Linked DNA regions of Macaca fascicularis. The protein of the gene in region 3 interacts with the protein of the main gene of each other region in a pairwise test. Links are inferred from orthologs where the notes say so. Each region holds a gene or a part of one and is shown on either strand. Other genes may lie near its edges.

Evidence for each region.
Region 1: the proteins of CCDC136 (region 3) and HDAC4 interact in binary tests that used the Homo sapiens proteins (3 or more experiments, as listed by UniProt). The two-hybrid records come from large-scale screens. The link is inferred for Macaca fascicularis from reciprocal best matches to the Homo sapiens genes CCDC136 and HDAC4.
Region 2: the proteins of CCDC136 (region 3) and CEP57L1 interact in binary tests that used the Homo sapiens proteins (3 or more experiments, as listed by UniProt). The two-hybrid records come from large-scale screens. The link is inferred for Macaca fascicularis from reciprocal best matches to the Homo sapiens genes CCDC136 and CEP57L1.

What each region holds. Positions count from the first base shown.
Region 1 is NC_088386.1:135,306,147-135,310,264, forward strand, and holds the start of HDAC4 (histone deacetylase 4), read right to left. Parts: upstream 2,801-4,118; 5' UTR 2,758-2,800; exon of another isoform or gene 2,154-2,757; intron 1-2,153. UniProt on the Homo sapiens protein: Responsible for the deacetylation of lysine residues on the N-terminal part of the core histones (H2A, H2B, H3 and H4).
Region 2 is NC_088378.1:13,195,472-13,199,593, reverse strand, and holds the start of CEP57L1 (centrosomal protein CEP57L1), read right to left. Parts: upstream 2,801-4,122; 5' UTR 2,720-2,800; intron 1-2,719. UniProt on the Homo sapiens protein: Centrosomal protein which may be required for microtubule attachment to centrosomes.
Region 3 is NC_088377.1:170,274,989-170,278,488, reverse strand, and holds part of CCDC136 (coiled-coil domain-containing protein 136), read right to left. Parts: intron 2,807-3,500; coding exon 2,486-2,806; intron 1,616-2,485; coding exon of another isoform or gene 1,610-1,615; exon of another isoform or gene 983-1,609; coding exon of another isoform or gene 878-982; exon of another isoform or gene 645-877; coding exon of another isoform or gene 543-644; exon of another isoform or gene 538-542; intron 1-537. UniProt on the Homo sapiens protein: May play a role in acrosome formation in spermatogenesis and in fertilization.

The DNA.
Region 1 (4,118 bases), on a different chromosome or scaffold from region 3:
TGAGCTATGAAAGCCCAGCCGTTTTCAATAGAGAACGGTATGGACGAATTCTACAGGAGTGATGAAATGCTTCTTCTGCTCCGGCAATTAAGACAGCATAAAGTCGCCTTTCCTTTGGTGCCACCCCCAACATCAAAGGATTGGAATTCAAAGCCATTCATGCTGCATTGAAACCTCACAATGAAGCTGGAGAATGGAAGTCGATTACTGGGCATAAATATGCAGTAGTTAAAAGGAAAGAGTTATAACGAAATTAAATGCAGCAACCCCACAATGTGTGGAAACTTCCAGCACTAGAGCCCTCCTGGTAAACATCCATAGAGCATCCTTCCCAACCAGGTCTCTGGCCACAGAGAGTCCAGATGGGCTGCCTGAGCCGCACGTGGCCAGTGTGCCAGGTTGTTCTGCCCATCTTGCTACAGCAACAGCCCCCAAGGCCTCCGAGAACATGGCATTTGCGGATTTTTATTTTGCATGGCTAGGAAGCTGCTGAACACAGAACATTGTCCCTGGTTCAGGACTCCGAGGCCACATCTGCCCTTCGTCCCCAGGCCTTCCAGGCCTATGTGCAGTCCAGTCATCTTCCCTCTGCCCCGCCCCTTAGCCCAGGGCTCCCCGGGGGGCATGCCTGCTGCCAGCTCCCCTTGCAGAAGAAAGAACCCTAAAGAGGGCAGCGTTGCCTCTGCCTGCTGAGTACAGCCGGCTTCTTTTCTAATTGATTACTGCTCTCTTTAGGATGGGATTTGATCTCTAAAATAAAAGCCCAGAACACAGAAAGCTATAGAAGTCTTACAATGTGTTGGGGTGTGTGTTTTTAAGGCATGAAAATACTTCCCTCCCACACAAATGTGAGTTCTTCTGGGGAAAGATGCCACAGATCCCAGAGAGTAGAATATCTGGGAAGGCTCGATCAGTCTTAAAAATAGGTAATTGAACACAGATTTTAGAATTCACAGGAGCTACCTGAAAAAAAATTAAATTTCACATATTTTTGATATCCAAAACTCCATTCTGATGAAACTTCTAACTGGGTGGCATTCTGCATTTCCAATTATAATAGAGTAATTGTGTTGCCATAGTTACTGCAAAATTCTGCAATAACTTTTGTTGCTTTGTAACTGCTGTAGTGTATATTTGTGTACAAGCAGCTGAGTTTTCTTAATTCGATCTCCCTCCCTTCCACCCTCCCTTTCCCCAGTCACCACCACCACCTTTCCTGGCTGGGTCCTGAAACCACCACACCAGCCTTCTTTGGACAGTCCCGAAAATAATGCACAGAATTATCAGAAGCAATTAAAACTCCAGGCAACCACGATCATATTACAAAAGAAAAAGTGAAACCAGGTCAAGGTGCAAACCTGCCAGTATCCCCCCAGTCCTGCTGGGCTGGCGCTGGGCCAGGGCTGTTTACAGGTTTACTCCCAGGCCTTAACTGCTTCGGTGATTTGTGGGAATAAACAGAAAAGCCTGAATAGAGAAAAACGGGGCGGCAAAGTGACTACACAGGCCCTTTCCTCCCTCACGGAGAGCAAGCAGAACTGCTCTCAGCAAGCAATTAGGTAGGTCTCTACAGTCATGCAATTAGGATTTAGTTAAGAAAGTCATTAGTTTTAAAATAACTTAAGTTTAATTTCTGCAACGCTTTATTTGAAAATTGTGTCACAGCAGGTCAATTTACAACATGCAATAAAGAAAACACTCATATCAGCTGCCTCAAGTTATTACAAATTTTTGATGTGCATTAAATGAGTACACTGGGTTCCACCCCCGGCCTTTCCAACTGATACGCACGGTCTCCTGCTATAACAGTGTCAAATAATTCAACGCTCAATGTAAATACGAGATAATTTGCTTATGATTCCGTGGTGTGTTTTCGCAACGCGGGGAAACGCGGATCCCACCCCCGAGCTGGACCGGGCCCCGTCTCGGCCTGCGGGCGCCCTGCGGGCTGAGCCGAGGGGGTCCCGGGCAGCACCCCCGCCTCCCGCGAACCCCCAGGCGCTCGCAGCGGCGACGACACGCGAGGGGCCGCGGACCCCGGCAGGGACGTTTTTCTGCAAACTCACAGCATTTGACAAAGTTACATAAACGGCGCCCGCCCGGCCCCGGCGCCCGCCCGCCCCCGCCCTCACTCCCGGCGGCCCGGAGCCCACCTGCTCGGGGGGCGCGGGCCCGGCACCGGGCGACGGCGCCGCTGCCTGCCGTGCCCACCCCCGCGCCCCCGCCCCGGCGGGCGAGGCCGCCTCGCGGCGCGGCTGGAAAGGTCCAGAAGGGGCCGGGCGGCCCTGGGGACCGGCGGGTCCCACGGCGCGCGGCCCGCGCTGGCCCCCGCCTCCCACGGCCGCGCGCGGGGCGGGTGTGGACCGGCGGCGTCCACCTGCCGCGGGCTCCGAGGCCTGCAGGCTGCGCGGGGCGCGGGGCGGACGGCGGACAATGGCCCGCGGGCGCCGGGCCGGGGCTGCGCTTACCGCGGCGGGCGGCGGCGGCCGGCTCTAGCCCTGCTCGGGCGCTCCGCGCCGCATCTCCTCAGCCTGCGCCGCCACCCGCCGGCGCGCGGGCTCGGGCTCGGGCGGCGACAGCCGGGACGCGGCCGCGGCGCCGCCGGGGGCCCAGGCTGGGAGGCTGCTCGGGCGGCGGCGGCGGCGGCGGCGCGGGCGGGCGCGCGGGTTCGGGCTCGGGCTCGGGCGGCGGCGGGGACGGTGCTCCGCGGCGGCGGCCCCACAACCTCCCCTCCTCATTCACAAAAAATTGACCCACGTTGAACCATGATGCTTCTCCCCCCTCCAGCGTCGAGCCGGGCGGCGATAGGCCACCCTGCACGCCCGTCAGCCGACCCGGCCCCGCCCCGCCCGCCGGCGGCTCGGCAACCACTGGCTGCGGCAGCCTTGCGTCACCTCCCCATATGGGCCCCGCCCTCCCGCCTGGTTTCTAATGAAGAGCTCGTCAATTACGGCTCGGCCCCGCCTCCCGCCCGCCCGCCCCGGGCGCCTGGCCGGCCTTCCATTGGTCCGTTGAAACCTGCGCACGGCCCGTCTGCTCCCACCCCTCGCCCCGCGGCTGCCCAACCGCGGGGCCGGACGCCCCGTGAGCGGCGGAGAGGCTCCACCCCTGCCCGCCTCCCCGCACGCATCCTGGACCTCATTGGCTGCTGGAGCTGTCAATTCTAGGGGGCGGGGCGTACCAAAAGACGCTCCAGGCGCCAGCCTCTGGGTGCTTCGCGGTTGAGGAGGCGCAGAGACCCGGAGCCAGTAGTGACCGTAAACACGGGCCCCGGCCGTGTCTAGTCCCACTCGGTAGCCCGCATGGCTACCTAGCGGTCAGCACCGCGTGTTTGCGAGCCTAATTCGCGCTTAGAGGGCACACAATGGGGTGCAGGCTGAGGCGGGGAGCTGGCCAGGCCTCGCCGTTGCCTCCATCTTGGGTACTGGCAGTGGGTCACGTGGTGCTGCGTGCGCACCGAGGCGCAGGGCGGCCCGGTCACCGAGTGCGCAGGCGCCGCGGGCCTCGCCCAGCCCCGCGGCGGGAACGCGGCTGTCTGGGTGTGCATGGGGTGCAGGTCTGCCAGGCCTGCAACTGCTGCTGAGGGTCGTGGGATGCGCTCGTCGGGTCCCTGCTCAGGCGGAGGGAGCCCGGCCCGCCGCCAGGGTCTCGAGTCACGGGCCAGGCAGGCGTGGAGGTGGTGGGAACTCCGCACCGGCCGGGCGGGTGTTGTTTTAAGGCCGCAGAGCTTGGGGGGCTTGTGTTGAGTTAAAGGTCGGCCCGTAGATCCCCGCAAGCGCCTTTGGTTGCCAGCTGGTGTGGGCGGGAGTCTTCAGTGGCCACCCTCCTGCTGGTGATGTTTCCATTTCTTTCCAACAAGAGTGTGACAACTTTTAAACTTGGGTGCACACACTGTCCCCGGAATCCCGCGTTCCAGGGAGGAAGCGCCTTTGACAGCGCGCGCCGGTGCGTGGGGCCTGACGGCGTGGGCCCAGGGATGCGGACCTGGCGGGGATGAGCGTTCGCTTCGATTGTGGGCCATTCCTCTTAGATGAGCAAGGATCCGTTTTTACAGCATTCTCGACCTTTGATTCTTGGCGGGGGGGGGAAACTGTAGTTGTGTGGATAAAAATACAGTT
Region 2 (4,122 bases), on a different chromosome or scaffold from region 3:
ATGACTTCACTGCAGCCTGGGTGACACAGTGAGACTCTGCCTCAGGCAAAAAGAAAGAGGCCAGGCACGGTGGCTCATGTCTGTAATCCAGCACTTTGCAAGGCTGAGGTGGGTGGATCACTTGAGGTCAGGAATTCGAGACCAGCCTGACCAACATGGTGAAACCCTGTCTCTACTAAAAATACAAAATTAGCCAGGTATGGTGGTGCATGCCTGTAATCCCAGCTACTTGGGAGGCCAAGGATGAAGAATTGCTTAAACTTGGGAGGTGGAGGTTGCAGTGAGCCAAGATTGTGCCATTGCACTCCAGCCTGGGCAACAAGAGCAAAACTCCATCGAAGAGAGAGAGAAAAAGAAAGAGAGAGAGAGAGAAAGAAAAGTAGTCATTTTAAAAAAGTCAGATCATGCCCTCATCTGCACAAAACTCTCCAATGCTTTCCCAACTCAATTAAAAATGTTAGTCCTTTCAGTCACGTACATGTTCTCCCACCATTACTTCCTTTCTCTGTGACCTCATGTTATTCTCTTTGTACTCATTGTGTTCCAGCCACACTAGCCTTCTTGCTATTTCTCAAATGTGCACTCAGGCTCCTGCCTTTGCACTAACTCTCTTCATTAGAATGCTATTTGCCCAGGCATCTATATGGTTTATTCCCTCCCCTACTTCATATCTCCTCAATTGTCCCCTTCTGGATTAGGTCTTTTCTAACCACTTTATTTAAAAGTAAACCTAGCCCCTCACATCCTGACACTCCCCATTCCCCTTCCCAGTTGTTTTATTCTCCACTGCATTTGTCTTCATTTCATTTACTAAATGTTTTACATATTTATTTACTATCTCTTCTCAGTAGAATGTAAGCTCTATGACAGTAAGAATTTTTATATATTGTGGTCAGTGCTGTATCCTCAATGTCCTGTTATATAAAAGGGACTCAACAGAAATTTGTTGAGTAAATGTGTGGGTGAAATGGAATATGAGAACCAATGAGTGAAAAATGGTCTGTATGGTTGATCTGGAGAGCAGTATATGAAGTGAGTCTGAAAGAGTACCAGATGATGTCAGGCTTTATAAAGGAGTTTTGCCTTTATTTTAACAGTAGCAGGACACCACTGAATAGTTTTAACCAAGAGAAAATCTGATCAGATCTGCAGTTTCAAAAAAATCATTCTGGTAGCTATAATGGAGAACTAATGGAGGAGGGTCATTGTGAATAACTGCTACTGTAGTGGTCTTGAGAGATTACCACAGTTTGAAGACAGGTGGAGAGAAAAATATATTTGAAGGATATTTTGGGAGATAAGATTGGCAGAACTTGGTAATAATTTAGCCATAAAAGTATGAAGGGCAAGAAGAAATAAAGAATAATGTTTGGCTTTCAAATTTTCACAAGTAGATGGATGGTAGTGTCCTTTGCTGAAATAAGGAACACTGAAAAAGAATCAGATTTGTAACAGATAACTATGTATTTGATTTTAGGAATGTTGAGTTTGAGATGCTTTTGAGATATCCAAGAAGAAATATCCAAGAGATAGATATGTGAAAGCTGAGAGGTGAAGCTGAATGGAGCTATTCATTTGAGAGTCATAAGTGTTGGTGAAGCCATGGGTACACGTGAGATCATATTTAACTACAGCATAAAAAGGCACCCAGCCTTAAGAAACTACCCTACCCTTTATGGGCTGGATAGAGGATGATCATCCCAAAAAGGAGATAAAAACGGAATGGTTTTGTTTTGTTTTCTCAATCACATTCATAAGTTATTCCCTTTTCAAAATTCGGATTCAAACTAGAAGTGTTAGAATGTAACAGGCTTTTGAAATTCGACCAATTCATCAGAACTATGCATCTATTCAAAAATAGCTCACTTACAGAAACAATGTAAAGAATTCACAATATGTGTCTCTTTGTAGCTTCAAAGTACATCAATACACAAAAAGCACCCTTCCCTTCCCACCCCACACCGCCAAGTATGTATGATTTGGCTTACTGACGTTTCCTGAAAGTACCCTATCTCTCGCTCTGGGCCTTAGCATATGCTGTTCTTTTGATCTTCATTTCCGCTGGGATGAAGATTTCCCTGGCTTTCCAAGACTGGGCTAAGTGATCTCCTTCTAGGCATCCCAGTGATATCATATAGTATTGTAACTGTATGTCTAACAACTGGTTCCTCTTAACTGGATAAGACTGTCTTTCTCATTGTTGTATATTCAGTGCCTAGCAAGATGAAAGTTTTAGAATTTAATGTAATGCAATTCTGCAACATAAAGAATTAAAATCTACACCGATTATCAGTCCACTGATGGCCGTTCAAACCTCGACTTTTCTCAAATAATGACTTTCTAAAAGCAAATAAAGCCCAGCACATCCCTAAGCAAAGGCAAACAAAGGTGCAAATGCGCAGAGATCCCAAATCCATCCCGCGCCTGCCCACAGAAAAGGGTGGAAGCAGAAGCAGCAGCCCGAAGCTCCAGTTTCCACAGCATCCTTCCTTCTTAGGCCGCTCCCTGCGACCCTCGGGATCAGGATCCCTAAATCCTCGCCTCACCCACCACACCCCGCGCTTGGGCAGCTGGACTAGTCCTTCCCACGCAAGCCACTGGAAAAATCCTTGGACTAAGGGAGGCCACGCTAGATGGCTTCGTCTCCAAAATCCCAGAGGAAATGGAGGAAGGAAAAACCCTGTCAAGGAAAGGTGACAACCCAGCCTACAGTGCTTACCAAGCAGACACTCTCAGTCAGCCCCTGCCACCGCTAACCGTTGGTTCGCGGGCAGCCACAGGCGACGTCGCAGTGGCCTCTGGGGATTGTAGTTTCTGTCGCAAACAAAACGCGCCGGCAGCATCAAAACTACATTCCCCACAAGTCAACGCGAAGACGTCCCACCGACTTAAATCTGGGGTTTGGAGTAATAAAGAGGCCGTCACTACTTTTACGGTGATCTTAAATGTAGACTCAATTTCGTCCAGGAGTCCCTTCGTGCCCTTTTTCTTTGTCGTGCTTGTTTTGTGTGTGACGAAGTCTCAGTGTACTTCTACGCCTTACTTTTTCCTTCCCCTTCTCCAGGACACACTCCAAACATCCGGGAACGGAAACCGCCCCAGGGCGCAAGCTTAGAGCCTCCGGAGGCGCTTGTGCCCTGTTCTAAGTCACGCATGCGTAGCAGCCGGCAGCGGTTGGCAGCCGCGCGCGGCGCACTGGGGGTCCGGAGGTAGCCTGCCAGAGGGCGGGGCTTTTTCCAATGGCTTTGCCTCGGCGGGTCGCGTCTGCCTGGGCGGGGAAGAAGGCGCTGGGGCCGGGGTGGCTCCCGGTTTGTGCCGGGCGGAGAAAGGGGAGGGGCTGGGGGTGAGGACCCCGTCTCCCCTCCCTGCTCCCGCCCTCTGGGCTGATCCCCACCGATGGGGCTGGGCGAAGGGCGGGCTTTGCGCCTTGGGCCCCGCCGCCCCGCCAGCTCCGCGGCCCAGCCCTGCGCTCGAGGATTGCCAGGGCCGCCCTATGCCCTCTGGCTCGGCGGTGGTGGGCGAGGGTGCAGGGATCGGAGAAGTAGCGTCTTCCCGGGGGTCCGGAATTGGCGGGGCTGGGGACGCTTTTTTTCGTCGCCGCCCGCCGAGACAGCGGCTGCCCGAGACTGCCGCCCTCCAGCAGCGCCAAAGCCTCCGGCCGCTGCGGCCAGTGGGCCAGGGTTCGGCGAGCCTTCCCTGCCGGCGCCCGGCCGGCTGCTGAGGCGCTGGGAGGAGCTGCGGAGGGCGGGGACTGGTGTCGGAGGAGGGGCGGGGTGGGAAAGCTCGAGAGAACCCGGTGGCTGCACAGACAAAAAAGCCCCGAATGGCTGGAGGGCGTTCAACTGTTACCAGCCTTTTGGGGCAGAGCACGGATTTGACAGCTCCACAACGTGAGGATATCCGCTGACCCCGCGAGACGGAGGAGAACGCTTCCCCGAAATTCTCCGTCCACCAAAGCCAGAGCTGCAAGGTTGCAACTTTCCAACTTTGTTTTCCAGAAGGAAGACTGCCCTTTAGTGTACAAGGAGAGGGTGAGAGGGTGATCTAGCTTGTAGATCGGCTGAAGACACCAGTGGTTCCAAATGTTACCCATATGTGTGTTTTCATGACGATTTGATTTCT
Region 3 (3,500 bases):
TACCAGTGCCCCTGGGATGATCATGAGGATCAGAGCTCTTCAGACCTCCTCTCTCCCCCAACAGAAGAGGGATTCCTTATTTTGCCATCCTGGGTAGCAACAGTAGTGAGAACTTGACTCTGGAGTTAAAGACAAAGAGAGTCCAGGCCAGCCTTGCAGACAAACATCAGCTCATCAGAAGTGGTCAGGCTAGCCATCACACAGAGGATGAGCGGGGAAAAAGAAGTAGTGAGGCAGCTTTGACAGTAGCAACCGAGCTGGGCTTAGCCAAGTTTTTCCCAGCCAAGGATTGAAACTCAAACCATGTCTCTGGCAAGCATTCCAACCTCCTATGCATTACAAAGACATGCTCAGAGATGTCACAGGCTTTGCAGTAGCCCAAGGAAAAGTCAGAACTAAAACTCAGACCTGAGCATCACCTGTTGTAAAATAGTACGAGCAAGAAGCAAGCAGCTGGGAGAAAAGGGAAAGAGGAGAGGCCAGGGCAACCTGCACCCTCCCTCTATCCCTCAGAAGGAGAGGAAGCAATACCAGTACCTGCATTAGGACGACGTCTCAGCCCACCAGCACCAGAGCAAAGCCGAGATGACCACCAGGCCTACAAGAGGCAAGGAGAAGATGGGGGGATCGGGGGTAGGGGATGACTGCAACACACCAAAATGAGAAAGAAGCACGAGGAGAGACCAGGAGATGTGAGACATAAACACATGGATCCAACAGATAATGAAGATGAGAAAACAAAGGGAAAAGAGAAAGGAATCAAGAGGTTAAAAAACAGGTAAGCTAGAGCAGTTGCATGTCTTTTCTGCTGCCTGGGCCTTGGTTCTTTCCACCGGCAGTCTGCAGGAATTGCAAAATTGAATGGGTTAAGCAGCAGCTAGGTCCAAGTCAGGCGGTGAGTCCAGTTTTCTTTCTGTCTCATCATATACCTCTCATATCTTGTCAAGCAGGACGTATCTGCACCTAGACCTTTCTTGTGATGCTGCAGAAAGTAAACAGCTTCCTTAGTGGAGTAGTGCAGATACTTTTCCTAGGTTGCTCTAGGAAGAGCCAGTCTTCTACCAGGCCACCTGTCCCTTTGTTCTAGCCTGCTTTCCATCAAGTTTCTTAGTATTTTGGGCTCTTGTCCCTTTGATCGCCTAGGAATCTAATGATATCATTGTAAAACAACATGCACCAAAACAAACTGACAAGGGAGAAGGGCTAGTTCTTTCGCTGCAACAGTCTTCCGGAGAGAAACTGCTTTTGCAAAGTGGTAATACGCATGCCCTAGAGCTGCCTGCAAAAGACGCAGGACCCACGGGGCAAAGGGATCTCTCCATATATAGAAACATAGAATGTATTTGAAGTAGAAAAGTCAGGTCTAGCTTTAGAAATGTTGGCACCGAAGGTAAAGGCTCTGAACCAGCACATGGTGGAATATGATGAGCTCAAGGAAACATGATAGTGGGAGGGGCTGCAGTGGCTCCGACTTTTCACATCTTAGGTAATGGTCCCCTGGCACAAGGTAAGCAGAGCACTGCACACTGGATCCTTAGCCAGTGCTGAAGACCCAATTGCCGGAAATTCCAGATATCCTCAGAGTTGACTGGACAAGAGGCTTTTTTCTTTACCTCTGTTTAGAACAGAAAGAACCTGTAATGTAAGCTGAGGACTTACACAGGAAATACTCTAACTCTGTAGAGACTCTGGCCCTGAGTTAAGCCCAGGGCAAGAATTCAGTTGCTACATACCTGCAGAGATGTACCAGTTAATAAAATATGGAAGTACTTCTATATTGTTGGTAAGTTACCCCTGGCATTCTAGCATATATATCCCAGGATACCTCCACCCCAACCTCTCAGTGATCTAGCAACTGTAGGGCTAGGGATGGTCTCCTTGGACTAGTCTATGCTCCTACTGTACAGACGTGAAATATTTTCACTATCACTCTTGATCACTCCCAGGCCCCACCTTCATGTCCTGTGATACCCAGAATCCAGGGGGCGACACAAGCCTACAAAGAAGAGATTATCCCCTGACACACCCCTAACAGCGACAACAAAGGTTAAACCTAACAGGGCACCATAGGAAAACCGGACTGAGTGACTTGCCCAGGCTGACAAAAATGGCCTGAAGTAGACTTCACGCTGTCAATGTCCTTCCTGCAGTGCCGAAAGAGGGATGAGGGAACGCTCCCCACATAAGGAAGGTAACAAAGGCTACTATGTAAATGAAAGGACTCCAGGGACCCCACGTTGGTTCCCAGAAAAGGTGGTCATTGTGAGGTGGTTCCACAGCAAATGGGGCTGAGCCCGTGATTTCCTGCAGACAGACTGCTCTCGCCTCCCCCTTCTGCATCTCCACCTCCCCGAAGGGCCGTGCCTTACAGTGCGAGGCCTCCACTCCTGGAGATATCTATCCTTGGCAGGGCCACCCATTAACTCTGAGGTACCTGAGCCCAAGATCCCACTTCCCACTTGATCTAGCCTTTGGCTCCGGTTACCTTTTTACTCTCGGAAAGTCTGAGGGGGTTGTTTTCTTCAGGACTTTCAAGGGAAGAGTCAATGTCATCTTCCTCCTCTTCACTGTCTTCTTCCTTCTCCTCTTGCTCTTTGTCCTCTTCATTTTCCTCCTGATCTTCTGTGGATTTAGCTTCCCCAGGATCTGCTGGCTCAGCAACTAGCTCATCCCCACACTGCTCCTTTGCTTCCTCTTTCACTTCCTCCTTTTTTTCCTCTTTCATCTCCTCTTTCTTTTCCTCCTCTTTTGCTAGTCCATCTAATTTCCTCTGGCTGGCTTTGTAGTACAGCACCACCTCCAGACTCTGTGGGGTGGGAGTAGGGCAGGATGAGGGCTGCGTTACCTGTGAAGCTCCTACTCTCATGACAATGCTGTACTAGCTCCAGGAAACATGACTTCCAGCATGTCAGAGTGCAAGGGTGCAGCCCGGTGCTCCGGGACTGTGAGCCAATCCTCTGAGCATATGTAGAGGGCATCACACCTCACCTCTCAGGACCACTATGTCTGTTGGCCAATAAGCCATTTCAAACAGCTGCCAGAACTAAAGAGTCTTGGGTGTGCACCTAAATTGTTGCTTCCCACCCCTACAGTGACTCTTTTTTTACCCAATCCTCTTTCACTTATTAGTACACAACTACTTTGAACAAATTCCTCCCTCTTCATCTATTTGGTCCTTCTCTTGGGCATGCAACCCAGGAAGAACAGGGGCCCCAGCAAATGGGGTTGGGTGAACTGAAGGAGTTGTCCAGCCTAGGGGCTGTGGTCCTTTAGGGCTGTACCTCCCAATGTGAGTTGTCTGTGTTCAATGTGAGTTGTCTGAGTTGTCTGTGTTCCACTCTCCCCATAGCTTCACAGGAAAAGGGAGCACCCACTTTCCATTAAGATGGGAACCACTGTAGACACTTCAGAGATCCCAGAAGCTTCTCTACAAATCCCTTGCCTGGTTGAAAGGGTGGTGGAGACAATGCTTCTTCCCAGGATCTCCTCCTCCTTTCTGC